Nothobranchius furzeri: one gene and its partners. The protein of the gene in region 3 interacts with the protein of the main gene of each other region in a pairwise test. Links are inferred from orthologs where the notes say so. Each region holds a gene or a part of one and is shown on either strand. Other genes may lie near its edges. The genes, in order: mad2l1, sh2b1 and insrb.

Region 1 (10,247 bases), on a different chromosome or scaffold from region 3:
GCCATAAGTCAGCACAAGGTCTACTCCCTTCTGGCTAAACTCTTTCTCTGCCGTAGAAACTAGGGAGAGAGGTGCAGATTATTTAATCCGGCCTTCATAACAACCATTTACAACTATTTTATTTAGTCACTTGTTGGTTTGAGTCTTTACAGTGTTATAATTCTCCTGTCACAAGGTTCAGCTGTTTAAAGAGTCGGTGCAGGAAAATCCACCTCAGGACCTGCTTTTGTCCTCACACGCTTTAGCTGTTGTGTTCAGGCAGTCATTTAAACTCTCTTATAAAAAGACGGAGGTCAGACAATAAGCCGGTGACTTCATGGGAAAAACACTTTATAAGTTAAAATAAAATAACTTACATACAATAAAAACTAGATACAAGGATTAACCATCCATCCATTGTCCTCCTCCCATCTGGGCTTTGGTTGCAGACGTGACCCTGTGTGGATGAGCGGATGCAGAAAGCGGATGGCTCTACGGTTACACTTATCTACACTGCCCTCTAGGGGCATACAGATGTAAACGCAGCACTAGGGCGTGATCGGCACAAAAACGCGCATGCGCGTAGTGTCCAGCTGACACATTTTCAAAGTAGACGGCGGGTAGTTGAGTCGTACATAGAATCAGCACAAAGCTTCCTCGAGGAAAGCCAACCAGTAGCAGTTGGAAAGATGACCAGCACGCTGAAGGGAATCACTCTGAAAGGAAGTACAGAACTAGTGGCCGACTTCTTCTGTGAGTGTTCATGTCTCTGTTCCGCCTTTTGAACGCCGTTGACACGACGCGCAGCTAGCATGCTAGCGGGCCTCGGTGTGGCTCACCCAGCGTTGCAAGCTAAAGTCTGGTAAAGGGATACAAACGTGTTGCCTGAAGGTTTTTAAACAGGTCGGTGCTCTTACAGGTAGCGTTTCTGATATTTAGCATTTGGTGTAACTTTAACGTCAGTTGAACGTGTTGGAGGCAGTCCGCTCCGCTGGTGCAGAAATCCCGTTGAAAGACGAAAAAGAGCTCCGTTTACAGGTAAAACTGCACTGTTCTTGTGTGGCTTGTATGCCGAATCGATTAGAAGAGCGACATCAGTTAAATATATCGTGCTCTTATTCTACAACTTGTGTATATTCCTAGCAATCTTTGTGAAAGCTACATTTACCCGTTTAATGGACGATGTTTGGTCCAGGATGGAGTTGCTTCACACTGAAGATTCTTTACTCTTCATATTTAAATATTGCATACTTGACTCTTCCTATTCTAAACCAATCTCTGCTCACACACACACACACACACTCAGGTGCAGCAAATACAACGTACAAATGTTTTGTTTGTTCACAAAGATTTTAAAAGTTTAGCATAAAATAAGAAGGCAGGAAAACTTAAAATATGACTAAAAAATCCCTAAAGTAAAACGGGGAGTGGCCCCCTTATATCAGTTTTCTATTGGGCCATTCCCATCTGTACCAGGCCGGGTAGCCCCAGTCGGCCCCAGCCTGGCCCGGTTGATTCCACACATCCTTGCCTTAAGCCCATGTGGGCTGATTCTACCCACCAATCAGAGGCTTGCTCTAATGGAAGGTGTGAATTTGCTGTCAGCAGTGGGTGTGTTGGCCCTGGTCGGCCTGAAGCAGACCCCCTCGAGAAGAGGGCTGAGAATGAGCCTTGGTTGGCCCGGAAACATACCAGGCCACCCAGATATGTAAACAACCTACGCTACCCGGGCCGACCCGGTACAGATGGGAATGGCCCATATTTCTAGTCACAACCACCATGGTATACAAACACGTCGGTCTTCGTTCTGCAGAAACTCTTTACACTGACATGAGTCATAGGTGACTCGCTTTGCAGCACAGATGATGAGTAGACAAGCTTTAGTTTGACTGCTTGAATCAGAGATGTGCAGATGTGATTAACAGGAAACATTTCCCCCTCATTAGATCGTCTTATTCCTGTAATGAAGGGTTCTTGTGTTCTAAAACATGACGTGAAACTGCCCTCTGTTCTCCTCAGCCTTTGGCATCAACAGCATCTTGTATCAGCGGGGCATCTATCCTCCAGAGACGTTCTCCAGAGTCACACACTATGACATGAGTCTGCAGGTCACCACTGACTCCAAGCTGAAGAACTACCTGACCAACGTGGTGTCTCAGCTCAAAGGTAATTAGCTGACCGACCAACTCCGACTGGAGCTTATGCGTCCTCAAAGAGTGCCCAAACAGAGGTCAGAGGTGTGTTTGACTCGAGGGAATGCTCCTCTGTTCTTTGAGCTTTAGGCTCCACCCACATTTACCTTGTTGTTGAATCTAGGCAGCTTGGGGTCTCTACTGTAGCGTACCAAACCCAGTTGTGAAGCAGTAATGTTGTAATGGCCACGGAGAAACCGTTCGCTCTGAGACGAGCTTAGAGACGCCACCTTACATCTGCATGTGCCAACCCGCGGCCATGCTAGCTACAAATGTTTCGGTAAGCTTACCGCCGTCCGTTATTTCTGTTTATGTGGAGCTGAGAACCGACCCACTCCAAAACCAGATAACAGGTATGGGTGCCTGCAGCGGCCAAAAGGCCTCAGAAACTACCATCTGCTACTGTCTTTCCCTAATCAGTGATTTCAGCCATGTTTGCCTTTCTAACTGTAATAACTCTGCTGTATGACCCACGCCAGCATCACCTACTGTGGTGGACGTATTCATGCCTTCAAATGAGCTCATGTTGTTTTCACCTGGGCAAGAAAAACAAAATGACCAGATAATCATGACATGTCCCACCTCTTGTATTATGTCCCCCAAGCTAGACAGGTGTTGTCAAAAAAATCGATACCTAGATATAAATTGATACTAAAAGTGGTATCGATATTATAGACTATTATACACAGCCTTCTTCAAGTACACCGACACGCACGACATCCAGATGCCGTAAAGCAGCCTCCCCTTCCCAGACAAACAGAAGAAGCTGCCGCATGGCTACATTGCAATTTCCCACGCGAGTTGTCTCCGATCCAAGTTTTGTCTGCCAAATAAATAAACAAAAACATAAACATCAAATTTGGGAGGTGCTTCACAGCCCAACTTAATTAGCATACCAAATCCGGCACGTAGTTGTGTATTCACGCTTATGTGCTTAAAGGAAAACTCCCGTTTATTGCAACCCGGACTTAATTCTAGCATGCAGTACGTTTGTTTACTCACGCTGACAACTTTGGTGCTGCTTGGATTCCCCGGGGTATTTAGATCCATTAGCGAATCGCCATCAGTGTATATCCATATAACGGGAGCGGACAGGCACCCATGGTGCAGCCTCGAAATAAGACATTATCTGCACCAAAACATCTCAATGTCGAAAGTTTTTTTTTTTTTAGGAATCGTTAACATGATTCCCCTGTTCGTTTGGAGCGAGTCTGGGATTTCTAGGTGTAAACAGACTAGCTGCGGCTAATCTAACCGGCGCTTTTAATGATGTCACTGCCGTGCGCCAGTCTGTTTTTATTAAGATTACCGGTAGATGTACCTTTGTCCTGCTGTGGAGAAATTCGTTTTCTCCCTTTATTGACCAACAGAGTTGTTCAAAAGTACAGAACAAAACATATGGCATTACATCTTATGACAAAAATGCACCTTAAACAGAGTTTAAGCAGCAAAACATCACTCTGCATATAGTGTATATATAGTGAGACAATTCATGATTTAAAGTGTTAACTTTCGCCAGTTTTTGTATGCAAGTTTAAAAAAAATGCTGATACTTGAAAGGTTTAAGCTCTTTACACACTTAATTCTTAACATTTAATTTTTGTAATATAAATTGAGGAATGTTACTTTTTGAATAAACTTGTTCAATAAATTGGTGTTTTTAAATAGTATCGAAATCGAGTATCGAATCCCCCCCCCCCCCCGTATCGAATCGAGTTTGAAATTTTAGTATCGTGACAACCCTACTAGAGACAGGTGTTAAAATGAGAGTTTTAACCATGAACTGCCCCCGCGCGGGGCTGCTTTATCAGAAGCCACAAACATCGGTCGTTTGTGTTGCAGAGTGGCTGTATGAATGCACCGTGCAGAAGCTGGTGTTGGTCATCACGTGCCTGGAAACCAACGAGGTGCTGGAGAGATGGCAGTTCGACATCGAGTGTGACAAGTCTGCCAAGGAGAGCAGGTCTGCTTTCTACTGGTTTTACTAGTGCTGACTGGATGACTCGTTCAGAGGGTTTGTTCAGTCCAACATGTGGGCTTGAGTTCAGCTCCAGTCTGTGTGTAAACGGGTCAGCTGAGTCTGGTTCTGCTCCGGATGGGGCGGTTACCTTAAATTGATGCTTTAAAGGTGCAGTATGTAAGAATGTAGTGATAATTTTACAGTGAGAAAGTCCTAAGAGTCTGATGTTTCAGTCATTTAGGAAGGAAGGTTCTACTGAAAAAATTCTCATATCCAGCTGCTGGATTGTCCGTTTTTCTCCTTTCTAAACAAAGGAAGGCTGAACGTAACTACTGTGTACCATCATTGAGTGGGGGGCGTGTCTCCTGCGAGCTAATGCTGCAGCACCAACATTTGTAATTTGACGATGGCCACCAAAAAGCTCCAGAGTTGTTTGAAGTGGTTGCAGTAATCAGATTTTACCACAACATGTCATTTTTACTTAATTTCTACATAATGCACCTTTAATCCAGCCTGCTGGTACCTTCATTCAGAGATGGTTTAGGTCATTTGGCATTTTACAGTGAGACTAATTTGGTCAGAGTCCGGACTTCTGCCCTTATAGCCCTTTATAAGTTATAACCCTACGCTGTGTTGTTGCTAAGCCCGCTCCGTCGTTCAGCATCAGTCAGTAGCAGCGTCAGACACCGGCTTATGTACAGATGTCACTCACGGCGTACGTGAGCGTGCGAGGATGTACCTGGACTGATGCAGAGGTAGTGGCGTTTCAGCACTCATTCCTGAGTTGGTGTTTGTTCCCAGCGCTCCCAGAGAGAAATCCATTAAGACCATCCAAGATGAGATCCGCTCCGTCATCAGACAGATAACTGCTACGGTTACTTTCCTCCCACTGCTGGAGACGCCGTGTGAGTAACACACACACACACACACACGCACGCCAAAACAAGACGAGGCTGGTTCTCTTTCCGAATCGGGGTGGCGAGATCCTCAATTTTAATTCTGACCTTTGCCTTCTTGGCTGCAGGTGCCTTTGACCTCCTGGTGTACACGGATAAGGACCTGGTCGTTCCAGAAAAGTGGGAGGAGTCTGGCCCACAGATCATCGACCAATCAGAGGAGGTGCGTTTGCGCTCCTTCACCACCTCCATTCACAAGGTCAACAGCATGGTGGCGTACAAAAGGACCGACTCCGCCTAAACTATGAGCTGTACATCTCACACACACACACACACACCTTATAGTAGGTAACAGTGGCTTCTGGGGCTCTCTGTCCTCACAGTGGACATGTTTTCTTTTCTGAGTTTTACTTTGTCTCGTTTGTGAGAGGACGTGAAAGGATGCTGCTCACTCCTCTCTGCTGTAAATATTTGTCAAAGTTGTTTTCTTTAATGTTGTCGCTGACGTCACCAACCGTTGTTTTAGTGATTTGTACGTCCGACCTTTTAAACTGTCACAAATAAAGGCCTTTTGCCTTTCCTCCTGTCAATGGCGTGCCTTTCTTTTGTGACCACAAGGTGGCAGTGTGGTGTAGCGTGTTGTGTGCGTGCAGGCCAACAGACACCACAGAAAAGAAGTTTTATTCTTTATTCAGCCACTCTCTACTTGGCTCACAGTGGTGTGGACAGAAGAAGAACGTCCCTTTCTCCATGGGACCATATCAGCTTATTTCATTCAGTGTCTACAGAAATCCATCTTTAAAAACAGCTCTTACATATGAAATGTTTATTTTAAACATGCATGAAATCAACCTGAAGATCTCTCGGTGAGAAAACTAGATTTTTAGAAAAAGCACAGCCCTGGAGGCTACAGAGTAGCACGTGGCCATAGATACAAAGGAGCGCATGTACAAAGTGCTTCAGTTGTGCTGCGAGAACGCCACGAAGTGACCGCTGCTCGTGTGCGTACCGAGAATTCTGGAGATGAGAACGATCATCTCAACAGTCTAAAACGAACAGCGCCGACGTGGGGTGTTTTAGGTAAGGTAGGACTTAGTTTTAACAAAAGTACATTCAATGTTGTGTAGTTGCCTCACTGTCAATCCTGCATCCTCATCATGGATGAAGCTGCTGCGTTGTTACACCGTCTACCTGTGACTCATCTGGGTATCAAACTGTTCTAAATTCAATAAAATCACCAAGTTCCCTCGTCCATATCAAATATCTTCTGGTGTTAAAGCTCACACAAGCAGGTAAGGGAGGTTGTTTTGGTGGGGGGAGTCCCGATTGTCTGTGCTGTGGTTACTGGTGAAAACTGTAAAACCTGCCCAGTTTTCACCAGTAACCACAGTACAGAGACAACTGGGCAACTGCAGAGTGATCTAACGTCTGATCTAGAAAAACTCCAGCGATCCTTGAGGAGCCAAAAAGATCTGCCTGTACATCCACATGCAAATGGGGTTAGCCATGTTTGATGACTTCCTGCACAGGGCTGGATCCAGAATGACTAAAGACCAGACCGATCGGAGCGATCACTGGTGAAGGCCTCACTGAACATTTTTTTGTGATGTGTATTTGGTCATGTGACAGTGGTTGCAGGGGCGTGTCCAGATCTTTTAAAACGGGGTGGCCCAGGTGAGGCACAACTTTGTGCATGGGTGGCACCAATGGTTATGCTTTTTTTGTTTTACCCCCAAGCCTTTTGTGGACAATGAAAAGCCTATTTAGAGGTAAATTAGTGTGTTAGCACCTGGGGTGGCATGTGCTACCCCAGGCCACTCCCTGGACACGCCCCTGAGTGGTTGTAATCATCTCAGAAGTGTAAATGTGTGTGTACATAACGTAAATTCAACTTAAATCATTTTCATACTAAATCTGATTTTAGAAGCATGTCAGTATATCGGCTAATATCTTATCGGCCATAACAGTGATATTGATATCGGTGCATCCCTAGTTTAAATGTCCCTTCATCTGTTGGTGTGCAGCTAGAGTACTAAGCTGGAGAACTAATCAGACCTTCTCAAAAACAGCTCTAAATGTAACAAAATCTCACTGAAATCTTGAAAACATTTTACTCTTTCCTCTAAAATAAAAAAAACGTATGACTTTCAGTCAAATTAACTTTACCGATAAAAAACGCATCTGGTTTCCTGTTTTACTAAAAATGTTTAGTGTGGAGCAGCATGGGAATGGAAGCCTTTACCTCAGCCTTACATGATCAATCGTAGCAGTGGAGACATGATCTGCTCCTCCAGTTGGTTCTATTGTATAATGGTATGACATGCTGTTCATCTGAATGAGCTGTTCCTAAGAAAGATCCTGCAAAAGGTACAGGGAGACTTGTTTTGTAGTATTAAAACTATGTTTGCTGTAAGAAGTGCTGCTCTTTTCTAAAGTATACTCTCACAATATAGAAAATCTAATAAATATATAAAAAGAATAAATACACAATAGTTAAGACAGTGAATGTATAAAAGACTCAAACCCATATAGTGTGCGTGGACAGACGTCTAAAAGCGTTCATATGAGTGACACAGTGTGACGTGTACAGTAAGTACATCGTAGTGATCCCACTCATGATTCTGATCCATAAAGGTCAGCGGGACCAGCCAAGGAGGTGAAACTTCAGAAAGAGACACTCGTGCAAAAAGACAACAGCTATGGTATTAAATACAGCTTGGTGCTCTTACAACGGGAAATGGTTCAAACTAGACCCTGATCTTGAGTATCAATGTACATTTTGTGACTGCAACACATTGGTGCCCCTTGTTAGCTAAGACACTTTTAGCTTCTAACAAAATGGGGTTTACATTTGTATTTAGCAAAAAATGCACTCGTCTAAACCAATGGGACTGGGGGCTTTGCTAACAGCTAGCTGATGACAACATGCTAAAAACATCACCATGCAAATCAGAATCTACCAGGGTGCTTTTTTCTTCCTTGTGTGTTCAATGATGTCAACATAAAAACAATGGACCATAAACCAACCACAGCATTAGAAGATGGTCAATGGACATGGGAGTTTGGTTAAAGGCCCATTAGTCATCACACACACAGGTCAAATGTTTTCTCTGCATCTGACCCATCCTCGGGGGAGCGGCAGACATGGTCGCACTTGAAAACTATTTGGTGGTGCTACCCCCCCAATCCACCCCTTAATGCTGAGTGTCGAGCAGAGGCATTGGGGATCATTTTTAAAGTCTTTGGTATGACCCGCCTGGGATTTGAACCCATGACCTCACGGTGGACACTCATACCAGTAGGCCACTGCTGGTTAAGAAGTCCGTTATTAGTAAATGCTATTATTGTGTTTGGTACCCGAGGCCAACAATAATAGAAAGAACTACTTGGTTTTTGCTGCAAAGTCAGCCTTCACAACGCAGCAGTTAGATGAGGAAATGTCTGGACTGAGGGTAAGAGAAGTCCGTGCTGAAGTTTGCCACTAAAATGTTTATCGGTAGGCTGAGCACCAGACTGAAGTAACTGTCCAATGGCCTACAAATCTAGACAAACCAAAGCTAAACGATTTAGCTCTGCATGTCTGTCTAGCCACGCTCCACTCCAGCCTAATCAAACACAAAATGTCAGCGGCGTGTTGAAATGACATTGGCATCAACCTTGGACCACTTAGACGTGGGCTTTTCTTTGAGTCAGGAGCAGATAGATGTCCCTCATTTAGAAAAAGGATGTATTTGTGTCTTCTTCGACAGTGTACGGTGGACTTCCGCTGACTCATTGTCCAATAACAAGACTACTGTAGGTCCCGCCCCACGACTGAGCTTTCTCTGTGGGGTGTGACTAGACTATAAATTCACATATATAGGATGGCTTACCAGGCTAACTATCCACAACTTTGAACTATGAAAATAAGCTAGCTGGTGAAGTGATGAGAGGAAACAAATCTCCTCAAATGCAGCCCCCGATAACCATAAACGTTGCTTTTGTCTTGTGATACTTTTGTCATCTTTCTGTCCTTTTGGGGACGATTAACACAGAACATTGAAGTAAAGTTTTCAGTTTCTACAGCAGTAGAGGAACCTGGTACCGAGTGTATAAAACATCTAGACCTGACAGTGATAGACATCATATAAAAGCATATCAGATGTTAGCATGTCTGGTAGCATTAGCTGCAGTCCCACTGATTTAGAGAATGAACCAATAGGCTTTCACCTTATTTAAAGTTGGGGTACTTTTCAAGATCACTTTCTGCACACCCAGCATCTCATATAGTCATTCTAAAACATCCTGCTAAAGTCATGAAATCCTGCGTAAAGACTTTAGACCAGTAGGATCCCCAACGTTTGCCAGAAGCCATAATGGATTTTGGGTCACACTAGACCATTGACCAGTCCCTTCTCACAGTCCTCAGCCAGGCACTTCCAGTGCTGTCGGTTCTTCTGGCATCCCTCCAGCAGTGGAGAGCAGTACTCCGACATGCTAGCCAAGGTCTGCAAAAGCAACAATAAGGGTTCAGCAAGGAGGAAGGGTTTCTTCTGCTTTTATGGGCTTTGCAGACAGAAACCTAAAAGGCTAAATTACCTCATATAATTGAACACAAATGGCATCAATGAAGGACACCTGCATGCTGGGAATCTTGTCTCGTTTCTCACGATTCATCAGGTCCTGAAACAAAAGGTACCAAACATAAACTCATTTAATAAGTACAATCGACATCTTCGACACTTACAGAAGGTCTTTTTTCACATACAGAGGTTAACTGCACTTATACAGCAATTTCTAAGTCAGAGGACTCCAAAGCACTTTACACTACAGTCAGTCATGCACACATTCACATCTGATGGTGATGAGCTACACTGTAGCCACAGCTGCAAACTGACAGAAGTGAGGCTGCCGTGCACAGGCGCCACCCACGGCAAAAAGGATGAAGTGTCTTGCGCAAGGACACAACGACAGTCACTGTTGAAGCTTCGGTTCTAACCAGTGCTTCATTTGAGCCGGATCTTGCCGGAACAAGATCCGGGAACTATCTTATTTTGAAAGGACTGTTCCGGCAACTGTCTGCTAGGATCCGGCAACTCATGTGACAAACTTGTGCTATACGCAGGATTCGAATTACGGGTGAGCTAGGGAGCTCCTGGAAGCCCTCAACACACCCAGGAGAAGTGCGAAACGATCCAGGTTCTACTTATATTACATTATCTATTCAATTCAATTCAAATT
Region 2 (10,081 bases), on a different chromosome or scaffold from region 3:
GTCCTATGTCTTATATATTCTGGAAGTTGTGCAAATGCAGGGATGGGAGTAGATATTCTGCTGGGGCGGGGCCGGGTTGGTGCCCTCGGACTCCGTGAGGCTCTGTGATGCTGCTGCTTTTGGCCCTGGCAAGATGGGCTGGGGTCTCCATGCCCTGGGTGGCATTTTGGCAACAGAGGTGCCTATTGGGGCCAGTGGGGGAGCTGGCTCCCTGGTGGGGTTAAGTCCAACCAGCCATTCCTCCCCATCCCCGCATATTTCTCTCCTCCTGCTCCCTCACATCATCACACAAACATGCACATAGGACCTTGGGGGGTGGACAAGTCATGGGGTGCGGGTATGGACCCCATTCCGTGTTCCTGTGGCAGCCTGCCCCCCAATTTTATTTGCACCTTATACACTTCTGCCAATGACATTCCACGCAAACACACACTTAGGGCCTTGGGAGTGAGAGCATTCAACGGCATTTGGCAGGGGGATTTTTCAGCCTCATCCCGACTGCCGGTGCCCACTTCAAATTTTAAACTGCACTTAGACAATGAAGGCTGTGGGTGCAAGTGGGGTGGTGTGGTGGCATCAGCTGGCATAGGCCAGACGATGCCCGCACTGCCCGCTCACCACAGCCATGGAATACACCTCATCAACACGTACTAACACCATATTGGAGCAGGCAAAAGGATCTAGGGGTCTTGGCACACCACTGTTGTCGCTTGGCTTCCCGGGGCTGGAGGCTAGGAGGGAGATCTGGCTGTCTGGTTGGGGCCTGGGATGGTGGGTTGCTTTGCTCGGTGTTAGGCGGGGAGCCTGCTCATCAGCACCCCAGCAGAAAGGGTCGAACTCTAGGAACCGGTAATGGTTGTACCCCATGTGCAGCAGTACCGGGACCAGAGTGAATAGGATGTGTATGGGGAGCATGAGTGGGTGTCTGGCATGCATTTTTGCAAGTCGTTGGTTGTATGTGTATGTGTGAGCATGAGGGAGGGAGTGAGTGTGTCTGTGTATGACTGTATATGTCTGACTCTGACTCCTCCCCTCTCCTGGGACTTATTTTGATGTTATACATCTTCGTCTTCCCTCCCCCTGCCACACCTGGTTAGGAGTGTGGTGTCTTGGTCTGCCTGCGTCGTGTCTCCCGGGTCAGGGAGTTTAATTTGATCATTTCTCTATGAAAGAGGACTCCCCCCCCCCCCCCCACACACACACACACACACCTTTTTTCTCTTCCTTTCTCTTTCATCTCTGTCTCAGTGTCTGGTCGGAATTATAAAGCATTCAAAAACAATAACAAAGTTTTAAGTATCAGGCGTGACATTAAAAGCAGAAGCTTTGATGCTCCACCTGAGAGTAAATCTTTAAAGCTTGTCACCAGCATTCAGACATCAATTCTGTTCGCTTCACAGCCAGACAGGACACGGGGGAAAAAAAAGGTAAAATAAAATAAATTTTCCAAGAAATGTCTAAGTCTAAACGTCTGCGTTGCCCCCGAATCCCAAACACGAGGATTCCCTTGGTGAGGTAGCAAGAGCTGAGATGTTTCGAGATATCACCCCATGTACGGCTTTTCATCTGCTGCTATACCCCCCTGGGCCAACCAGGCTTTCACACTGATGCAGCACTCACTGGTGGGAGTGATGGGTCAGGCCCAGCCAGGAGCCTCTGTTCAGCCTTTTGAACAGGAGTAAAGCAATAAATCACCACATTAAACCAAGCTGAATGTTTCACTATATTTATATTATATCATTATCATTAAATTCAATGTAGTACCTGAAACTAACCACACAGGTAGGACAGAAAGTTCTGTCTGCCCTCAACACACGGTCCCAGCAAAGAGAGAAAAGACAGAGAAAGGCACAGAGAGTTTTTAAAATGAGAAAAGGACACAGAACATGAAGACCAGAGGTTAAAATGTGCATGGAGACAAATACATGACGAGCAAAGAAAAGTCCTTCAGAAACGAGCAGGTCAGCTACACGGAGATCTAAACCGAGACGGGCTGATGACCAGACACACACAGAGAAAGGCACAACTAGAAAAAAGTAGCTATCAACATTTTCTGCTAGATTATTTTTTACTCCTGATGAATGCAGGATGAGTTCGAGGAGGAGAACACATGAACAGTGAGGGAAAACTGTCACAGTGAAAATAAGAAAAAAAAAAACCTTTTAACCATTTTCCTTCTTTTCATCCCCAAAATAAAAAAGGCACAAAGACATTTCAACTGAGATGGAGTTGGAATAAGTGTTACATAGAGTAGGCATACAAAATAAAAAACAAGTGTCAAAAACACATTTAATACTAATATTCTGACCATCGTTATTACTATTATTTCCATTATTTTATCGTTTCTCTCTGAAAGAAAGCACAGCTCTGCTCTTGAGGGTTTGTGTGAGTCAGAAACAGAGGAGAGACATATATCAGTACTGAGAGATGCTGCTGAGTGAGTCTGAGGTAAAGGTTTCCTTCCTACTGCAGACCCAAAACGTTAACACACTGTCCAACGTCAACACGCCACATTTTATTTTTCCTCACAATGGTCAAACATTCGTGGGTGTGGTGTAAAAAATGTGTCATCTTAAATGAGCAAAAGTATAAAACTCAAATCTTTTCCAGTAAATTTAAATAGTCAAAGCCCTTAAAACATTTATCTCTTGACCTTTTTATTTAATTTTAAATATACCAAAGAACTTGATCAAAATAGGGAGTGATGATTTACTCATACTTAAAAGTGACTGCATGGTTTTAATTGGTAATATCATTTGTAATAATTAACTTCATTTATGAGTAAATCCTTGAAATGTTAAAAGTTTTATCAAATCAAATCAATAAAACCAACTCTATGAAGAGTTCACAGGTTTAATTGAGTCGTGTATAACAAATTGGATCACCAGCCTGAGAGACCAGGTTATCTCCAGATTAACTCACTTACACTCAGATCTCTGAGCTGGAGGGTAACTCGGAGTTAAACCAGATTTACTGGTTCTGGATCCGTGAATATTCATGTAAAAACAGATGAAGCTTGTTTAATCAAATGCCGTCTGAGAGAGCCAGAAAATTCAGATGTTTCTGAAAAAGACAAAGATGGAACAGTTTCAGATTTCTGAACAGTAACAAAGAAATTGGTGAGCATAAGTTCTGCTGATGCTCCTATTTTAAAGGTTCCATATCATGCTATTGTAAACCTATGAGAGCAAAGGTAGGCTCAGTGTATAATAAATATTACTGTTGGCTCTAGTGAGATGTCATTCATCTTAAATATGAGTTATAGCCTGAATTTATACCCAGAAATAAAACGCTTTATTTCAGTTAAACTCGTCCGCTCACAGGAATGGTCTTGTCGGCCGGTAGAAACTCGGGTCAGAACCAAACAGGGTGAAGCTGCTCACACATGGAATCAGCTTCCTCATGACCTCAAATGAGCCCCAACTCTAGTAACTTTTAAATCAAAACGGAAAACTTTCATGTATTCATCAGCCTATTTAATTACCCTCTGCACTGTAATCGCCCACCTTTTAACTTTTTCCTTTTTCTGATTCTTAAATCTGAAATTTGTTTCAATTGTGCCGTCACGCTGATTTTAACGTTACATTATTCTCGCTACTGGAAAGCACACTGAATTGCCCCTGTGTATGTATTCATACAAATAAAGCTGCCATGCCTTATTTCAGCTGGCAGCTCAGAGCCAAGTTTCCTATTTATTTCAGAGGGTTTTATTATTTGTATATTTGACGTTTTTTAAATGCATTTGTCCTTCTGGAGGATGGAAATCCATTTTCTCTCTCACTTTTTACATTTCTGTGTATTTTTCACATCTTTATTTGAATTATTAAACTGAAGTTTAGTTGTTTCTATGAACAGATAAAAGTATTCTGACTAAAGGAGACCACAAACCCATTTAGCAATTCAAATATCTAAAAGAGAAAAAAACTATTAAATATTGTAAACATTGTGAACTCTTATGGATTAAACTCCAGATCCAGTCCTCATTTCTTTAGAATTTCCTAACCAGCAGCCAGACCTTGGTAATCTAGATCAGTAGGTCTCCAGACTTTATGAGGGTCTAAAGTTCCTCTTTGGATTTGGGCTGCTGTTCTATTCTTTATAGTCCAAAGCCATAAGCTGGAAACTTAGCAATCAGCAGCATTGTTCTGAGGTGGAAACTAGTCTTAAACAAAAAAATTAACTCTCCACACACACAAAGGATTTGAAAATCCATCAATAATCTGAAACAAAAACTGAAACGAACTAAAAAACATCAGCCAAATTCTCCCAAAAATGAAACTGGAAGACCTTCAGAACAGCTGGATTAGTACCGATGAAGACAAAAGTCTAGGAAACGTAGAAATGAGGCATGGATTGGGAGTTTGAGCCTTGTTACTCATCCTCAGAGTAATGGGCTCGACACACGGGAGGCTACATCGCCTCTCCTCCATTCATTTTCAATGAGACATGCGCGACAAAGCGATAATCGCGGGTCTCCCTCCTACCAAGCGAAACGCGAAAAACACGCGTCAAATTTTGCGCTCGTGCACATGTCGTGCACAGGCAACCCAGCGACGCAATCCCAGAAAGTTGAAACATTTTCAACTTTTCATCGCTGTCGCTCGGACGAGGACCAATCAACCGAGGTTTCATTCACTGACCAATGAGCGGACAGGATGCTCCATACATCTCCGAGCAAACATGAAGGAGAAGTTGATTATTATTATGTTTTATAGTAAAATCAGAAGTAACTCGAGCAGCACCTTGTGAAACATATCTACCACTTTATTAACTCTGAACCGCTTAAATAACCTCAATTACCTCCAACCTGACACAGCCAATCAAAACAACGGAAGATTCGATTTCACCATGGAACAGAACGCGTAGACGGTTTTGCCGCTGGCCGCTGCCGTGGATCGCCTCCCGTGTGTCAGGTAATAAAAGCGACGGCAACAAATTTCGCTGATCGCGGTCGTTTGTCGCCTCCCGTGTGTCGAGCCCATGAGAAGTGGTGTTTGCGTGGTGACCTGAAGCGGTTTCTGAGGAGCATCACCACCGCGGCTCAGTGTAGGTGTAACGTTTTGGGTCTCTCTGCCACAGTAGAAACATCTGTAGAGTGTTTGGCCTCTGACTAACATGTGCTGTCTTGGCAGGACCACTGTGAGGTATCAGGTCTGCTGACTCCAGAGTCCTCATCTAGGATGAAGAGTTTTCTGAGAGGCGCACCGGCAAAACAAAGCTTATCTGGCTAAAAAAGTAAAGAAATGTACGGCTAGTTAGTGTTGTAAAGCTGCTCCCACCGGCCCTCTCTCAGTCTCGTATAGTGTTAGTACTTTTACACCTCCTCCTCTTCACTAGCAAAATAAAAATACTGGTTATGAATGGCTATGACATACGCCGCCTCTTCCAATCTCACTTTCTCACACACAAAACCACACAAACATCCTCTTCCTCCACCTCCTCCCGGCTGCCACTCCATCAGTAGAAGGAGTACTGGTTATCGATGGCTCGAGGGGCCCTTGCACCCTCCCTCTCTTCACCCTCTACAGCTTCCAACTGGCGAAGAGGAGTGTCCCTGTCTTCCCAGTCCTCTACTCCCCCTCCACTGCTGGCACCTCCTCCTCCTGGTGTTGCAGCTGCAGCTGCTGTGGCTGCCACCATCCCTGCAGACACTCCTCCTCCCCCTCCTACTGCTGCTGCTGCTCCTCCCCCTCCAGTTCCTGTTGCTGCTCCTCCTGTTGCTCCCAGCTCTGGCTCATTTCCTCTTTCCTGGGGTGGAGTTGGTGGAGGCGGGCGTCCTGGTGGTAGAGGAGGAGGCTGAGGTGGACTACGGGGTCTGCTGGTCAAGTCTACCAAGAGAAGCGGGAGAGGTCAGAAAATCAGTGTAAATGAAGGAAGGAGGCGGCGAGGAGAGGAGGAGTCAGAAGACAGGAGGGTAAGAGGTTGGAGAATGAAATGAAAGAGTCAGGTTTGGTGAAAGAGCCTTGTGATGATGGACTTCATGGAAACAACTGAACAAAAACAAACACCTGGGGCTCCATCTTCATCCCACAACGATCTCCAGCAGATAATGCGGTAGGAAGGAAACAAGCTGCATCTGGATGTAAACAGCTCAGTTGAGCTGATACCGGTAACTTCTGGAAGTGACGAGACCGCAGAAGCGGCCATCTGATTAGATCATCGCCACTAAGTAACATGCGTAACACCATCACACAGTACAGTACGCACCGAATGAGCTGTGCTGCAGCGTTGTTGTCCGTTTGTGGTCATTGTGAACATCCTCTTTAACTTTGCCTGCTTCACTCTCACCAGCGTTTGATTACTTTAAGTTGCTAAAGGGAACCTAGGCCACGCCCATCTACTTCCGCATCGTGGGTCCTCAGAAGGACGAAAAAATGAATGCAAGTCAATGGGGCTAAACACGCTGTTGTTTTTAATTCTGTTTGCTATGTGCTATGAATTTCACACATGATGTCCATGAATTTTAGACATTTTTATACCAAGAACACGCTCATTTTTGAACGGGGGTAACGTTATTTTAGGTTGTGTGTGAAAATAAGTCCAGGACTACAAATGCGCATCGCCAAAGTGACGTCATCGAACCAGACACGGAGAAAAACAGACGGAAAATGGCTGTAAGTTCAGCAAACTTCAAATCCTTCCTTCAGGAGGAAAGGACCACCAATAACCCGGCCGTGTGGTAAGTAGCCGCTGCGCTAGGGGAGAGGAGATTATGTGGTGACGTCATATTATGCCACGAACCTAGTCATGCTAATTACGAACTTTTACAAGCGATAAATCTCAAAGTAAGTGACTGGCGTGCTCGAAACACCCATCAGTAGTTTTCATTTGAATAGAAGTACAACACATGTATGCGCGATCCAGGGCGTAAGGCAAAGCGGATATCTCTTACTGCCCCGTTGACTTGCATTCATTTTTTCGTTCTTGCGGGGACCCATGAGCCAACCGGAAAGGGAGGAGACTTAGGCTCCCTATAAGCTAACCGGAAGACTGCCAACCCGCGCATGTTGCCACCTACGGTACAGGAGTGGAATGAACATTTGAGAGCTTGATTTTCTAACGTACACGTAAACTAGAATAAAGGATCCCAGCTTATTAGATCAATCTAGATCGACTTAAATGTTTGGTCCTAAATAATAAAGGTTTTAGAGCTGATAGGGCAGAACGCAGAACTAGACAAGAAACCTCCAGATTCAAAATCTGGAGTTTGACAAAACGGGACTTCTCCAAAGGTAAGCAGGGACCTGAATTTAGCACAAGGGTTCGGATCTGTCCTCATTGCTTCACATTTCACTTTAAAGACTTTTTCTTAAGACGCCTGCTGCTGATTTCCAGTTCAGTCTACCTGAAAAAAATATATCTGCATTTGGTACAATGTGGTCATAAAACATGGAAGCTTCCATAAATCAGAAAAGATAAGAGGAAAGGAAGCTCGAAGGTTACATGCAGCATTCTACCTCAGAGGTTTTGCTGAAAAAGGCAAACCTGTGAAAAAGCATTTTTGAATGGCGTCTGCTGATGCCCTTCCCTACTGAGCTACAACCAATTAGCACGAGTTAACCAAAAGGTCCACTTAGCAACTTTACCAGGCCATTCCGAGTACCTATCCCTCACCAGGTACTCACAAAGTTACCGAAAATGGCCTGAAAAATGGCTGTTCAGCTGGCTCGATCAAGTTGAGATGTGCATGTCGGGAAGTTTCTGTAAATTTACCCTGAAGTTCCGACAGTGGAAACACACCTTTTGTCTAACCCGGCCACGGTGACAATATCAGATATTCTCAAGTGTCAGACATGCAACAGTTTTCACAATCCAGCCATAAACTCGTTAGTCAAATTAATTTGAGAATTTTCAAAAATGAAATCTCACCGACACCAATATTAACCCATAAAAACCAGTCAGTGCATTTGTTACTTAAACAATTGTCTAATTTATTTTCCATTTTTATAATAAGGATGTTTTATTTTCCTAATTTTTGTCACTGGCTTAAAGTTAAATTTAGAACAGATTTATATTAGGATTAATATCCATCTCCTTAACGTCCTAAAGATGAATTTTTATTATGTTTTAAAGACCAAGTTCTCTCACTCAATTTTAAAGACCAAGTTCTCTCACTCAATTTTCTAAGCATATGCAGTGGTCTCAAGTATAAATAAATGTCTTGTGTCATTCTCTGTGGGGGGGAAAGCTCTGGCACTCCTGTTTCAGTAAATAGAAGTGAACCAGAGTGAAGGTGAGCTGGACACGGCAGGATTTGGAGTCTTACTTCCTGATATTCTGACACCTCGCCTCTGATTGGCTAACAGCAATGTGACTGTGTGTTATGACCACGGTCATAAGGAACATTATTTCTTCTGTTTTTGTACTTTTATTTTTTTTTTTAAGTGTTATTTTGAGTGTGCAGGTGCCCTCCTAGGATTGGTGGATGATGGCCAGGGGACGTTTGGATTGGAAGATCAGCTGGAGCAAAGCTGTTAAAAGGAGCCTGATGAGATGCAGCTGGGTTCTTCATTCTCCACTCATTCCAATCAGCCACCACTTGATGCTCTGTGTTTGTGTGATGCCCTTGTGTTTTTGTGACTATTACCTGCCATTTGAGGATTCTGTAGGGGTGAACCGCCTTTTTTCTTTGCATTCCTGTTTTCTCCTGTTTTGGATAGTCAGGAAGGTAAGTTTGGCTGTCAGTTATTTCCTTTAAGCTTGTAGGTCAGTTGTCACTCTGAAGTTAGAGGTGTTTTGTTTATTGTTTTAGGCATTGGTTCACCCTGAGTTATTAATCCTCCCTCGTCCTTAGTTCATCGCCTTGATCTTGTGAATAAATTATTGTACTCGGAATTCTGCTGTGGTGGTTTGGAACTGGTGGAAGATTGAGCCATTTTTATGTTACAACCTGGCCCTCCTAGACGGGTAACACTGACTCGCTGATGTCTTATCTCCACAAATAACACAAGCTTGAAGGAGTTCTGCTCTGTTGTGGAGTTGCTAATGCTAACAGTTAGCTTCTACTAGCCAAGACGTGCGCCGCCATCTTCTGAACACTAAATCAGCAGTCTTCCTCTAGCCAAGGTGGGCGAGTCCATGAATGGTAACTTACAATGAAGTTGAATTGACTGGCATTTATACTCCAAGCACTTCCGTCCATCTTCTCCTGGTGGGTAATGCAGGCACTAGCGATACAGGACTATTTTTATATTTAGCCTGCATGTGAAACCCAGAGTGACTGATTGTATTTCACAAATAACAAATAAACAATGGTTTTCCAGTGAACTTTGTCTTTAAAAGTTTTTTTTGAAGTTCCATATTTTCAACACAAGACAAAGTAGAAATGAAAAAATACATTTCTTTAGACCCTCTTTTGCTCACACTAATTAAAATCTGCCTTTAAAATTAAATAAATCCTTTAACAGCCATAAAACCCAAGAGTACCGTTTCCCACATACGGACTCTGCTCTGTTATAAACAGCTCCAGTGGGGCAGGAAAGTCTGACCTGATTGGTTCAGAGCTGAATCCTGCTCTGCTAAAAGCAAACTGATGTTTTGTTTAGTTGGTTCAGACATCACCAGTCTTGATTAAATGACAAATGTGTCCTCCTCAGTCACTCACTGCCACACACTCATCCTCTCTCAGCATAGTCCGGTCGCACTTACACACAGTCAGAGATGGGGGTTGATGGAGAGTCGGGATGGCGCGTGGTGATGACATCACAGACTGCAGGCCGACTGCCTGCCCTGTCGCGGCCTGCAAGGGATGAGCCAACGGATACAACAAGACAACAACAGAGAGGTCAGAGCACTGATGGGTTACACAGATGGGAAAGCTGCTGGGTTGAAACTAAACAGTCAGGAGTCGCATCAGAGAGCTTCTTTACTCATATCTGATCAAAGTCAGAAGCTTCAGAGGGAAATATCACTGGATTTACATCGTCTCATGTAGGAAATGTGGAAAAATTGATGAGGCAGATGAATATTAGCTGTATGGACAAAAATATGAGATGTGAATCCTGAGGACGTGAGTAGAAGGTGACTGGACTTCCTGTTTAGTTATCCAACAGATATCATCTCAGACAAACCCTTGCTCCTG
Region 3 (11,161 bases):
TTGTACTGCCAGCACATCTGCATTAGGCAATGCCTAGCAACAGAAGACCGAGACAATGAGAAAAGACTCAAACAGATCACTGCGAGGACTCCTCATTAAAGAATGGATGAATGAACAAATTCCGTGTTTACATTCTCTCTGGGCAGTTGTCCGGGCGGTCCAGGAACCCTCCGTCCATCACAAACTTCAGGACCTGCTCGTTGGACAAACCCTGGTAAGGCTGCTCTGCTAGCGTGCTGATCTCCCACAGCACAACTCCAAAAGACCTACACACACACACACACACACAACAACGTGGTGACAGGGTGAGCTGACGGGATAACAGAGCTTACACAGCAAGTCGCTGAGGCGTGGCGTACCAGCAGTCTGAGTGAGCCGTGAAGACTCCGTCCTTCAGAGACTCCGGAGCCATCCACCTAACGGGAAGCAGACCCTTCCCTCCTTTACGGTAGTAATCGGTCTCGTAGATGTCTCGAGTCATGCCAAAGTCTGACAGCAGGAGATCAATGCATCAGGACCGACTCTGAAACCCAAATCTGCCTCAAAACCAAAAACACAACACACAAAACGACTGCCGTACCTCCGATTTTTACTGTGAAGTCTTCAGCCACCATGCAGTTTCTGGCTGCCAGGTCCCTGTGAACAAACTTCTTGGCGTTGAGGTAGGCCATGCCGTCAGCTATTTCTGCTGCCATCTGCAGCATGTCCTTTAGAGTGGGCGGTGGGCAGCCGGATGGGTTGTTCTGCAAACCACACACGGAAAATCAGCTTCTACCCTTTGGCGAACACATCACAACCTTCAATCTTGTTTCAGTTTATTTTGCTTTGACCGATTTAACCCTGACTAGATGATAACCAGAACGAACCTCAGAGTCCGGTCTCAGACTGCGAAGGTAGCTCTTCAGGTCACCATGAGTCATCAGCTCCATGACGACCAGAGTGGGCTGACCTTTGGACACGACCCCCAGCAGACGCACCTGTAAAACAGAAAGTCGCAGCATGACACACACCAAACCCTCCCAGCTCAAGACAATGTTTCTTTAGTTTTAAAATCATTTAAAGGCCTGCTTTAAAGACCAAATATAAATAAATGCCTTGTGAGTCGATCTGTGTGGGGGGAAAAGCTCTGGCGCTCCTGTTTCAGGAACTAGACGTGAACCAGAGGAGAGATGAGCAGAAGGCGGCAGGATTTAGATTCTCATTTCCTGATATTCTGTCATCTCGCCTCTGATTGGCTAACAACAACATGATTCTGAAACTCTGAAATAGAGGCCGACCAACATGTTTTTTTTTTAGGCTGATGCTGATTTTTAAAGAATATTGTTGCTGATATCTAAAGCCGATATAAATACGTTTTAGCAGCACATTGATTGTGAAAGACAACTGGACACTCACCGTGTGCAATATAAATTAAATATTCAATAAATCTCTTTATATTCATTGAACGTCAAATAGAAAACAAAATCAAAACATTAAAGAAATGGTGTGTTGGGTTCTTCGGGTCCTTTCTTCAGCATAGTAGTGGCGGCAGTTGGCCACAAAGGTGCCTGCTTAATTTTTTTAACGTTTTTATTGGCTTTTAAAAATAATTTTAGCCGATATAGAAAAAATTTAATATATCGGACGGCCTCTACTCTGAAATCTCTGTGTGTGTTAAGTATAAAAGCTTTTCAAGCTCCTACATGAATTAATAACAGCTCCGATATGAATTATCTCCTCCTGAGGTGGTAAATAATAAAATTCTCTCTCATCGCAACATGTTTTCACAGCTGACAGCACAACACATGCTGGCTCAATTGATGCCTAGTAGCTTGTGTAATGAAATAGTAATGGCCGCCGCAATCGCCTACTGAGTGTGAACATTTGTTTTGGAGTCAAACTGTGTGTCAGTATGGCAGCTCCAACACAACACGTGAGTCACGGTTCTCTGAGACACGCACTGGTTGCAGCTAAAGGATAAAAGAGCAGTGAGGTGCTGTGAGTCAGCAGCCCGCTGGACGTTCTAAGAGGGTTTTCGTACCACGTGGTGGCAGCTGAAGGCCTTCATGACGGACGCTTCGTTCAGGAACTCGATCCTCTCTCGCAGGCTGGCTGATTCGTTGACCGTTTTGACAGCGACGCGCGTCTCGGGCTCTCCTTTGACAATGTCCTGAGCATTTCCCTCATACACCATGCCGAAGGAGCCCTGGCCCAGCTCTCGGAGCAGCGTGATCTTCTCCCGGGGCACCTCCCACTCGTCAGGGACGTACACTGCACAAAAAAACCAAGATTTTTATGGGTGTCTTGAACAGAGAAGACAAATAGAGAGAAAAAAGGACTTTTTGTAACTTACAAAAGAAAAGGATCTTTATCAGAAACAACAGAACTGAAACGTTTTATGGTTTTTAAACAAATTTTTGATTATGGTGCAAATTTTTCTACTTCATGTGACATAGCTTTCCTCAATATTTGAAAACTTAAACTTCACACACAACGGGTGTTTTTAATACACATTAAATGTGAAACATTTCTGACTTCTTTCGCCCAAAAATTCTGAGTTAAGTGTGTACAGCAGGGGGATTCAATCCCGGGCCTGGGCGGCCGGTATCCAGCATGTTTAGGTTTTAACGCTGCTTCAACACACCTGATTTTAATTAGTAGGCGATTAACAGGCTTCTGCAAAGCCTGATGAGCTGCTGCGTAGGTAATTCAACCACTGACTCTAGTGGGTTGGACTAGAGAAACCACTACAACGTGCTGGAATTGAATAGCCCTGGTGTACACCCTCCAGTTCACCTGAAATTCCTTTTTTTTTTTAAGTTTTATTTTTTATTAAAAACTGTATCTCTTACATAAAACTCAGACACAAACATTAATAAATGTACGACCATCACACTCTTCCGCCTCTCATTGATCACGACCGTTTTGAAGATGGTCAATAGTTTATGCACAGCAACTATTAGTTTGAGGTTTAACTTTAGGGTATCACAAGACTGTGGTTACCTTGGCAACGCAAATGAGCCACAGGCAGCAGCTTTAACATTTCTTTTGATTTTGGTTCTCTTTACGCTCCTTCAACTGCTGTCGGTGTTTGTAGAAACAGGTTGCCGTATATTTCAATTTTAGACATTAGCTGCAAAATTTTGCTGGAAAACGTATTCAGATGTGTTTTAGTTGTGTTACAAGACTCTTACTGTCATTGGCGCTGAAGTATTCAGGGTTTGGAGATGTGATGAGATCTCCTAATGGACCATCACTTTGCCTGCAACACAACCACAGGAAAAAAAATAAATCTGAGATGCTGTAAATGATCTCACGACACAACAGCACACTTGATGATGATGTCACATCTCACCTCTTCTTGATAACCAAAATGACACCAGCAGCCAGGAACAGCAGCAGAATGAGCAAGATGATCGGGCCGATCACAATCCAAGCTAAACCCGGATCAGCTGCAGTAAACAAAGAGTCAGTTCAGCTGGAGAACGGCAGAGTTTCACAGTGGAAAAAGATAAATTAGGTACAAAATGTAATAATAAACTTGTGAAATAGACTTGAACCAGGTTGTAGCCTGTGGGTTATTAGAGGAGGCATATTGGGACTTTTTTATTAGGTTCTAATAGTTCTATTGTCAGTGTAAAATATGTTTATGAAGCTCTTTGTAAAAAAAATCCCTCTCACATAGAGCCATATCAGCGGTTTTAATTCTGATAAGTTTCATAACTTCCAGAATGAGCCTTTTCAGGGCTCTGTCACTTTAAGAAAACAAGCTGCAGACCGGCCACGCCCACCAGTCACCCACTCAGGATGCTATTGGCTGCTCCTCCAGCAGCAGCTCTTTCTTGCACATGAGAAACTGTTCTATTCTACTTTCCCCATTTGTGATATCACAAACAGGGACCTTTTGAAACGGATTGTTTTAGGCAAATAATTCCTAAAACTAAACATTTTCCCCATGTTAGGATTTTTTATAAAGACAGTAGAGACCCACATGGCAGCACAAAAAGATGCAAAAAGTGTTATGTCCCCTTTAACAAATGCAAACAAATACCAAAAGTTTAGTTAAGTTAGAGATGGAGTCTCCAGTCTTACGATTAGGCATGAAGAAGTACGTCGTTTCTGTAAAAGAGCCGTTTCCTGCCAGCGACGTAGCCCGAACCCTCACGCTGTAGTTTCCAGGGTGAACAAGGTGGAGCTTGGTCCCGCTCATGTTGACGTAAGCCGGCCGTGACACACAAACTGTGTGAACCTGGAAGAACGTATGAAAAACACAGTTTAGCATCAGTGAGGGCGACAGGAAAAGCAGCTACTTCACCCAAACCATAAAAATGGATTTAGCAAAGAGAATATGGAAATGGTCATTTAGCAAAATATGCTGAACATGTACGCAGCTTTAAAAACACCAATAGGTGAGAAGGAAATGCTTCACTGAATTTCAATAATTCTCTTGACCTATGAGGTAGAAAATTTTTTTGTGACTATCTAGTCTGACTTCTGCTGTTCACCCGAGTCACTTGTTTGGTTTCTTTTATACTAGTCAGAAAAACAGCTTGGTTTTATAGTTGATGGAGAAGTTGGTAGAATTTATAGTAAATGGACACATTTTTTTTGCCCATCCAGTGATATTTTTTTTAATAATCATAATTATACCAATAATAACCTAAATGAAAAATGCATCGGTTGTTTGAAAGAGCTAAAGTTTGCAATGCTTTCAGAGTAGTGCAGTGGAGATGCACCTCCATCACTGCTGCATTAGAGCCTTCTGCTTCTGTTACTATAGCAACAGAGTTGCTGATGGTGGTGCAGCAATGAATAGCAGTGAGATTATTTACACATTTGCTGCAAGTAAACAACAACACTGAACACACATGCTGTTGCACACACAGTCAAAGTTCAACACGGACACACCCACCCACTAGAAAGCGTTAGTGTGTACACAAAAACAAGTTTACATAGTAATAGAAACAATCACCAATTGTCTTATGGTACATTCTTAAAAATAGGAGACAAACAATTGCCACACAACATCAAAATTGTCAGCTGACCCTTTCAGACCATGTCTGATCCTCTCCAGGTCCAAATGATTCATAATTTCTCCAATAAAGTGGTTGAGGCCGAGCATCTTTCCACTCGGACAGGATGGCTCACAAATAGCATAAAGCTATTATGTGCTGTTGGCTACCATCTGCTGTATCGTCCACTGTGACCACCACAAACAGAGCAGTCAAGGGGTCAGGGTGCACAGTGGTCGCACAAATCCTAGAGAGTTCATCAAAATTGGGCCTCCAATATCCCTGTCGTGTCAGGCAGGTCCAGAACAAGTTGGGTCTAAGTCTGGCTTCATTATTGCAGTCTGTCTTTGGACCAAAGCAAATGGTGCACCACTTTGAGCTAAATAATACTGTGTCTCACGTCTTGTGCCAGGCCTTTTCTGACAATCCAACACCCAGGTCCAGCTCCCATTTCTGTTTTGAAACGTCCGGACTGATCCGATGGTGTGAGCTGAGCCAGGCGTCACCTTTACTCAAAACCTTAGATGTCCGGCAGTCCAAGATCTCATCGAGTAGAGTCCGAGATGAGCACAGGAAGGCATTCAGAATGAGATTTGACAAAGTTTCTCAGTTACGGCCACAGCCATTTGTTTTTCTTTTGGTGCATGCTCCTCTTTCCCTTCTGATTTCATCCTTGTGCTGAGAGGCGCTATTCTACAACAGCTGTCTCATCCCACTCTACCTCGCTCCGCCCTAAAGCACCCAGTTCACAATCGGCCTAAAACACGCCTGGACCCACCCTCAGCGAGGAGCAAACGGAGACATCTGTCTCTGGCCTGCTGTCTCCTCAGCATGCTTTGTATCCTTTTTTGTAGTCGGTATGTGTTTTGTGTGTTTTATCCAAATTATCGAAGGTGGGGGAGTCCTTAATTAGATGTGTGTGTAGTGTAGTTTTAATCTGCGTTGTTTGGGTAAAGGTTTATGCCTGACGTCAGGAGCACTCCATGTTACCGTGTTGTTGACACGTACCTCTGTGTCTCCGACCTTCTTGTAGAAAACCTCGTAAAGGATGATGAGTCCATTGGGTGATCGAGGCGCGTTCCACTTAATCAACACGTAGGGAGGTTCAGCGACCACAACATCGTGAGTCACAGGACCTGGGATATCGTCTGCTTTTTCTGCCAGAGCCACACAAAGACAGAAACATTTGAGCAAACTGATCTCTACCTAGCATTTTGCACCCGTGATGATGGTATACTTTGTGTTTTTTTATGTGACCAATGCACAAGCGGGTGTCATTTGATCAAAATCAAACTAAAAGTAAATCTGTATGTTTAGATGAAGCAAAAATAGTTTGATATCTCACCTTCTGGCATCGTTCGGGCACTGACGTAAGTCGCCAGGCTGCAGCGTTTGGGGTCTTCAGGGTGGTTGCAGGCCATGATCTCGATGGTGTAGCTGGTGAAATGGTGCAAGTTGGATATGACTGCTGACTCCTTAGAGGTAACATTCAGCTCCACCTGAGCAGGAAAATTATGGGATGGGATTCAAAATATATACAGATAAAAAGCATTTCTCTTTTACACAAAAATAATTTTTTGCAAGGTGTTTTAATTTTTTTTTTCTAAAAAAACTTAAAAGCCGTTTTAGTTGAACTTGTAGGCAAACACTAATCTATAACAGATTTCATTCAGTGTTGTAGACCTTGGATCCCTCTTCGTTCTCGTCTTCCTCTGTAGATGAGGCGGTGGTGGAGCCAAGCTGCAGACTAGATATCGTTGTAAAAAATAAGGGAAACTGTGTTGTGTCCGGTTTGTCCACTGAGCGCCGTTCACGGGGCGACCTGGATGAAAAACAGAAATTATCAAAATGAATAAGATCCAAGACCAAGGGGCTGAGATCAGAGGACAGGAATGTTATTTTGCAGATGAAAAATGGAGCAGCTATAAAGGGAAACCAACAAGTGATGAGGTCATGACATTTATTCAATGTTGGTGGAGCAAACAACTCTTTCCGCTGTGTGGCGCCAGTGAGCAAAACTTCTTCCACCAGCAGCAGTTTTCACTAAAACCACGGATGCCATCAGCTCAAAGCTCCATCAAAAACTAACACCTTGGCGTGCCGAGAGGTGGAGGACTGGGTTGAAGCTGATGATTTCTTTGCTTAGTGGACTAAAAAAGAACAGCGATGGTTGTTTGGACCAAAGACCAGTTCAAAATCACAGGATCAAAATGAATCTGAGGAGTGTGTGAGGCGGTGTTTGTGTCTCCAAAGGGCTGTCTGCATGACTGCTTCTCTGACCGGCGTGGATGATAATGGGCACGGTAATCACTCCCCCAAAGAGGCAGATAGGAAAAAAATGACAGTGTGTGTGTGTGTGTGTGTGTGTGTGTGTGTAGAATTAAAGTTCAAATACACAAAACCTCCCATTCTGAGCCCCCATAGAGATGTTCAGTACAAAAACAAGGGTCTACAGAGAACACACACACACACACACACACACACACACACACACACACACACACACACACACACACACACACACACACACACACACAACACACACACACACACACACACACACACACACACACACACACACAAACACACACACACACACACACACACACACACACACACACACACACACACACACAAAAGAACCTTGGCTGAGATGACACCCACCACCAACACAAGGTCAGTTGTAAACCCCCTTTAGGGTGCGCTGTGTGTGCTACATTGTTACCGAGCTGTAAATGCTGCACCCTGACCAGAACGGTGAAATTGCAGCTTCTCCAAAAATAAAACAGACGGCTAAAACGCGATCTTCACCCTGAGGTGTCTAGACTTGCTTACCTGCTCTCAAAGACTTCGTTATGGAGGTAATTCTCAAAAGTCTTGCGGTATTCTATTTCCTGTTGTTGCTTTTCTATCTGGCTCTTTGTCATGGGACAGGCACAACATTTGCCCTCTGAGGTGGGATCATCCGTGTGGTTCCATTTCTGCTCTTCTTCGAGGTCGAGGTGGGTTGGAATTCGAGATGGAAGCTTCATCCCTGGACAGGAGGAGCATGGGTGAGGCGAAAGCCTGACAAAAGATGGAGACAAGCAGCGGCCGAGCCAGCTGGAGACAAACCTTGTAAGCAGTAGTCAAACTTAAAGAGGTCACTGTCCTCTGGTTGTTTACGACAGATGACCCGGTAGTGGGTGATGTTGCCGTTGGGGCTGTTTGGCGGTTTCCACTTCAGGATGATTTGAGAGGAGGAGTTGGAGGATGAGATGGGGTCCAGAGGTACAGAAGGTCCTGGAGGAAAAAGAAACGGTTAATCCTGCTGCCTTCAGTTCAGAGATTAGGACAGTTTGAACCACACCAAACAAAAGCAGAAAATCTCAGATTTGAACTCACGGGAGGCATTAGTGCGGACATAAATGATTTTGCTTTTGGCTCCATAAACCTGTCGCTCATCAGAAGCAGACAGCTGGGTTTTGACCATGATGGCGTACTGCGTCCAGGGTTTCAATGGACGAATCAGGTGCCCAGGATCATCGGCCTTCTTGCCATCTGTGGAGCGGGCTGGTGGATCTACGTCTGCGATCACCCAGCTGTTTGATCCACAGGCGTCCTGTCCATCAAACTCTGTCACATTCCTGTACGGACTGAAGTAGAAGCAGCCAAGTTTAAACCAGCTCATTCAGCATCATCATTTCAAAGATGGGGGCATTAAGTGTAATGTTTATACTCCAGGGCCATTTGCGTGTAGGAATCCAACTTACGCCTCCTTGTAGAGAACCATAAATCCCAGCAGGTCCCTGTAGTCCGAGGGCCAGAATGAGTTCCACTTCAACATAATCATGTTGTGTGACGTCTTAACGTGGGTGAAATTCAGACTCTTTGATTCGCCTAAGACAAAACAACTCGTCAGACACATCCAGCAAGTTGAATCTGGATGAAGTTTAAGCTTGTGGGTAAAGATTTTAAGGTTTCATGGGTTTTTGTTTCTTGGTACGTTACTGAAGTAGAAAAATAATACAAATGTAAAGGGAGTGATGAGGTGGATGTGTTAGTAGAGGCTCCAGAGGTTCTTACAGGAAGCCTGGTCTCCGTTGGTGCGAAGAGCAATGTCGTTCTTCTGGTTGCGCTCTTTGGTTCCAGTTACCTCCTCCATCTTGGTGATTTCAGACATGCAAAGCTTGGAGTTGTAGTGGAAGAACGTACGACCGTGCTCTATTGTCAGGTTGTGTTTGGACCAGTCCCACAGCTGACGGAGGTTCTGGTTGTCCAGTGCGTAGAAGGCATAAATACTAAGGAGAAACAAGGCGATAAAGAAGTTAAACATAAAGAACGATAGAAAACTGTAGCTGAAGGTAAAAGGGGAGGAACTTACTCTCCTTCGAGTTGTTCCCCCTTGATGAGGCGTAGTTTTCGTAGGAAGGAGAGGGAGACCAAGGCGTAGGCTCTGCGTATGCTCAGGTAACCTCTGATCTCCTCAATCTGTCCCAGACTGGCCTCCAACTCAGCTGCTATGTTATCTGCAAGAGTTCAAGTAAAGACAGGAGGTCAGGATGAAAGACCAGAAGTCACAGACACGTGCAACGCTACTTACTTCCACCTCGGATCTTAATGATCACGTTGCCTTCAATAACGGTGCAGCCTCGTAAAGCCTGAGCCGAAGTCACAGAGTCAATGGTTTTATTTCCTTTACACTCTTTAGGACAGGGGCCCGCGCACGGCTTACACATCAGCCTGCACACACAGAAGGAGAACAGATTAATGACAAATTCATTAAGACCAAGGAAGAAAAACATCAACAGGCTTGTGTTCAGTTATCAGAAATGGAACAAGGAAAACCAACTGGTAGGAAGGCTTGGGAAATTTAACTCCACGGCTCAATCTACGAAGCAGATTTCCACTTTTCTCCTCGCGTTACGTCTAAAAACGCAAAGCGGCACCTGAATGAACGACGACTCCAAAATCAAAAAGGAGAGAGCTTCTCTGACGTAGTTTGGAAAAATCATCTAACAAATAACATCAGATTCAACTTGCTCTTCTCCACATCAGTGCTTTAGAAACTACACAAAAACAACATGGCTGCAGTTCCCAACAGCCTCTTTGGTACGTAACATCCTCCCCCTTGCAAACATGCACTGCATCACATACCCAAACACACCCTCTGCGCCATCAGGTCTTCACACAGGGATGGTCAGGATAAGAACATCTTGTCGTCTGATGAGTGAACACGCTGTACGGCAAGCAGTGGGATGCTTTATTCACAAATACGCACTTTGTCTCCTAAAACCCCCTGAAGGACATGATCCGTTTTATTTTGTTCTGCATAAAGCTGCACATGCAACAGGGATTTATCACTCAGGAGAAAGGAAAAAGTTATGGTCACATTTGTCTAATAATTTTAAAAAAAAGGCGACAATTCAGGCAAGAGCCTGATTAGTAGAGGATTTAAATCAGCATTTAATAGTTTTAAGCTGAGCAGACTGCTGTTCATGTGAAAACCTCGGTCTCATCTTCACACCCTTACCAGAACAACACCCCCACTTTCCCCCCTATAACATCTACACCCTCGTTATTTAGTCCAAGTGATGCCACTTGGATCCAAATGGTCTTTCACACTCCTGGCGCCTCAGTTTCCATCTCATCAAACTCTGAATAAATCACCGCAGTCAGAAGCCAACTCGTCGGTTCCTCTCTGAGCTTTTGTGTGAGAGGAGACAAAAGTAACAAGCTCCCCAAACAATAACTAATACAAAAAATTTGAAGGGTAGGTTGTCTGTTTTTCCCACATGGAAAATGCTATATCCAGCTTCTCCAAAGTAACGCTCCAGTTGCGGCACAGAAAGGGAGAATGTTTTGGGCTGCTGCACTGAAAACACAGACTCACAGGCAGACAGGCTGGCTTTTTAAAGGGCCGGTGTTTATCTGAACCCTGTGACTCCGGGGTCTGTTAGAGCCATCCAGAGCACTGTCTACAGCTGACGCTCAAGGTTCGGTCTCGGCCAAACCCTGACCGAACCCGACCAGCTGTGAGTGTGCGTGAACGTTGTCAGGTTGTCCAAAAAAGAAGGCCGAAATCACCTCAAACAGTACACGAGTGTAGATACATTAGAAAACATTAGCTAAATCTGTTTAATGAAAAGCGTCTGAAGGGAAAGTCAAGAACATCCCAAAGAGGATCCAAG

Evidence for each region.
Region 1: the proteins of insrb (region 3) and mad2l1 interact in binary tests that used the Homo sapiens proteins (3 or more experiments, as listed by UniProt). The link is inferred for Nothobranchius furzeri from reciprocal best matches to the Homo sapiens genes INSR and MAD2L1.
Region 2: the proteins of insrb (region 3) and sh2b1 interact in binary tests that used the Homo sapiens proteins (3 or more experiments, as listed by UniProt). The link is inferred for Nothobranchius furzeri from reciprocal best matches to the Homo sapiens genes INSR and SH2B1.

Annotation. Positions count from the first base shown.
Region 1 is NC_091743.1:87,150,412-87,160,658, reverse strand, and holds mad2l1 (mitotic spindle assembly checkpoint protein MAD2A), read left to right. Parts: upstream 1-531; 5' UTR 532-668; coding exon 669-732; intron 733-1,998; coding exon 1,999-2,145; intron 2,146-4,013; coding exon 4,014-4,134; intron 4,135-4,932; coding exon 4,933-5,036; intron 5,037-5,155; coding exon 5,156-5,328; 3' UTR 5,329-5,617; downstream 5,618-10,247. UniProt on the Homo sapiens protein: Component of the spindle-assembly checkpoint that prevents the onset of anaphase until all chromosomes are properly aligned at the metaphase plate.
Region 2 is NC_091745.1:16,802,237-16,812,317, forward strand, and holds the end of sh2b1 (SH2B adapter protein 1), read right to left. Parts: intron 9,740-10,081; coding exon of another isoform or gene 9,649-9,739; intron 5,829-9,648; coding exon 5,458-5,828; 3' UTR 5,254-5,457; downstream 1-5,253. UniProt on the Homo sapiens protein: Adapter protein for several members of the tyrosine kinase receptor family.
Region 3 is NC_091748.1:58,175,204-58,186,364, reverse strand, and holds part of insrb (insulin receptor b), read right to left. Parts: intron 9,714-11,161; coding exon 9,574-9,713; intron 9,500-9,573; coding exon 9,355-9,499; intron 9,272-9,354; coding exon 9,057-9,271; intron 8,871-9,056; coding exon 8,744-8,870; intron 8,627-8,743; coding exon 8,376-8,626; intron 8,274-8,375; coding exon 8,106-8,273; intron 8,026-8,105; coding exon 7,827-8,025; intron 6,814-7,826; coding exon 6,675-6,813; intron 6,491-6,674; coding exon 6,337-6,490; intron 6,149-6,336; coding exon 6,000-6,148; intron 4,229-5,999; coding exon 4,072-4,228; intron 3,432-4,071; coding exon 3,335-3,431; intron 3,242-3,334; coding exon 3,174-3,241; intron 2,251-3,173; coding exon 2,021-2,250; intron 978-2,020; coding exon 867-977; intron 744-866; coding exon 581-743; intron 490-580; coding exon 360-489; intron 267-359; coding exon 132-266; intron 34-131; coding exon 1-33. UniProt on the Homo sapiens protein: Receptor tyrosine kinase which mediates the pleiotropic actions of insulin.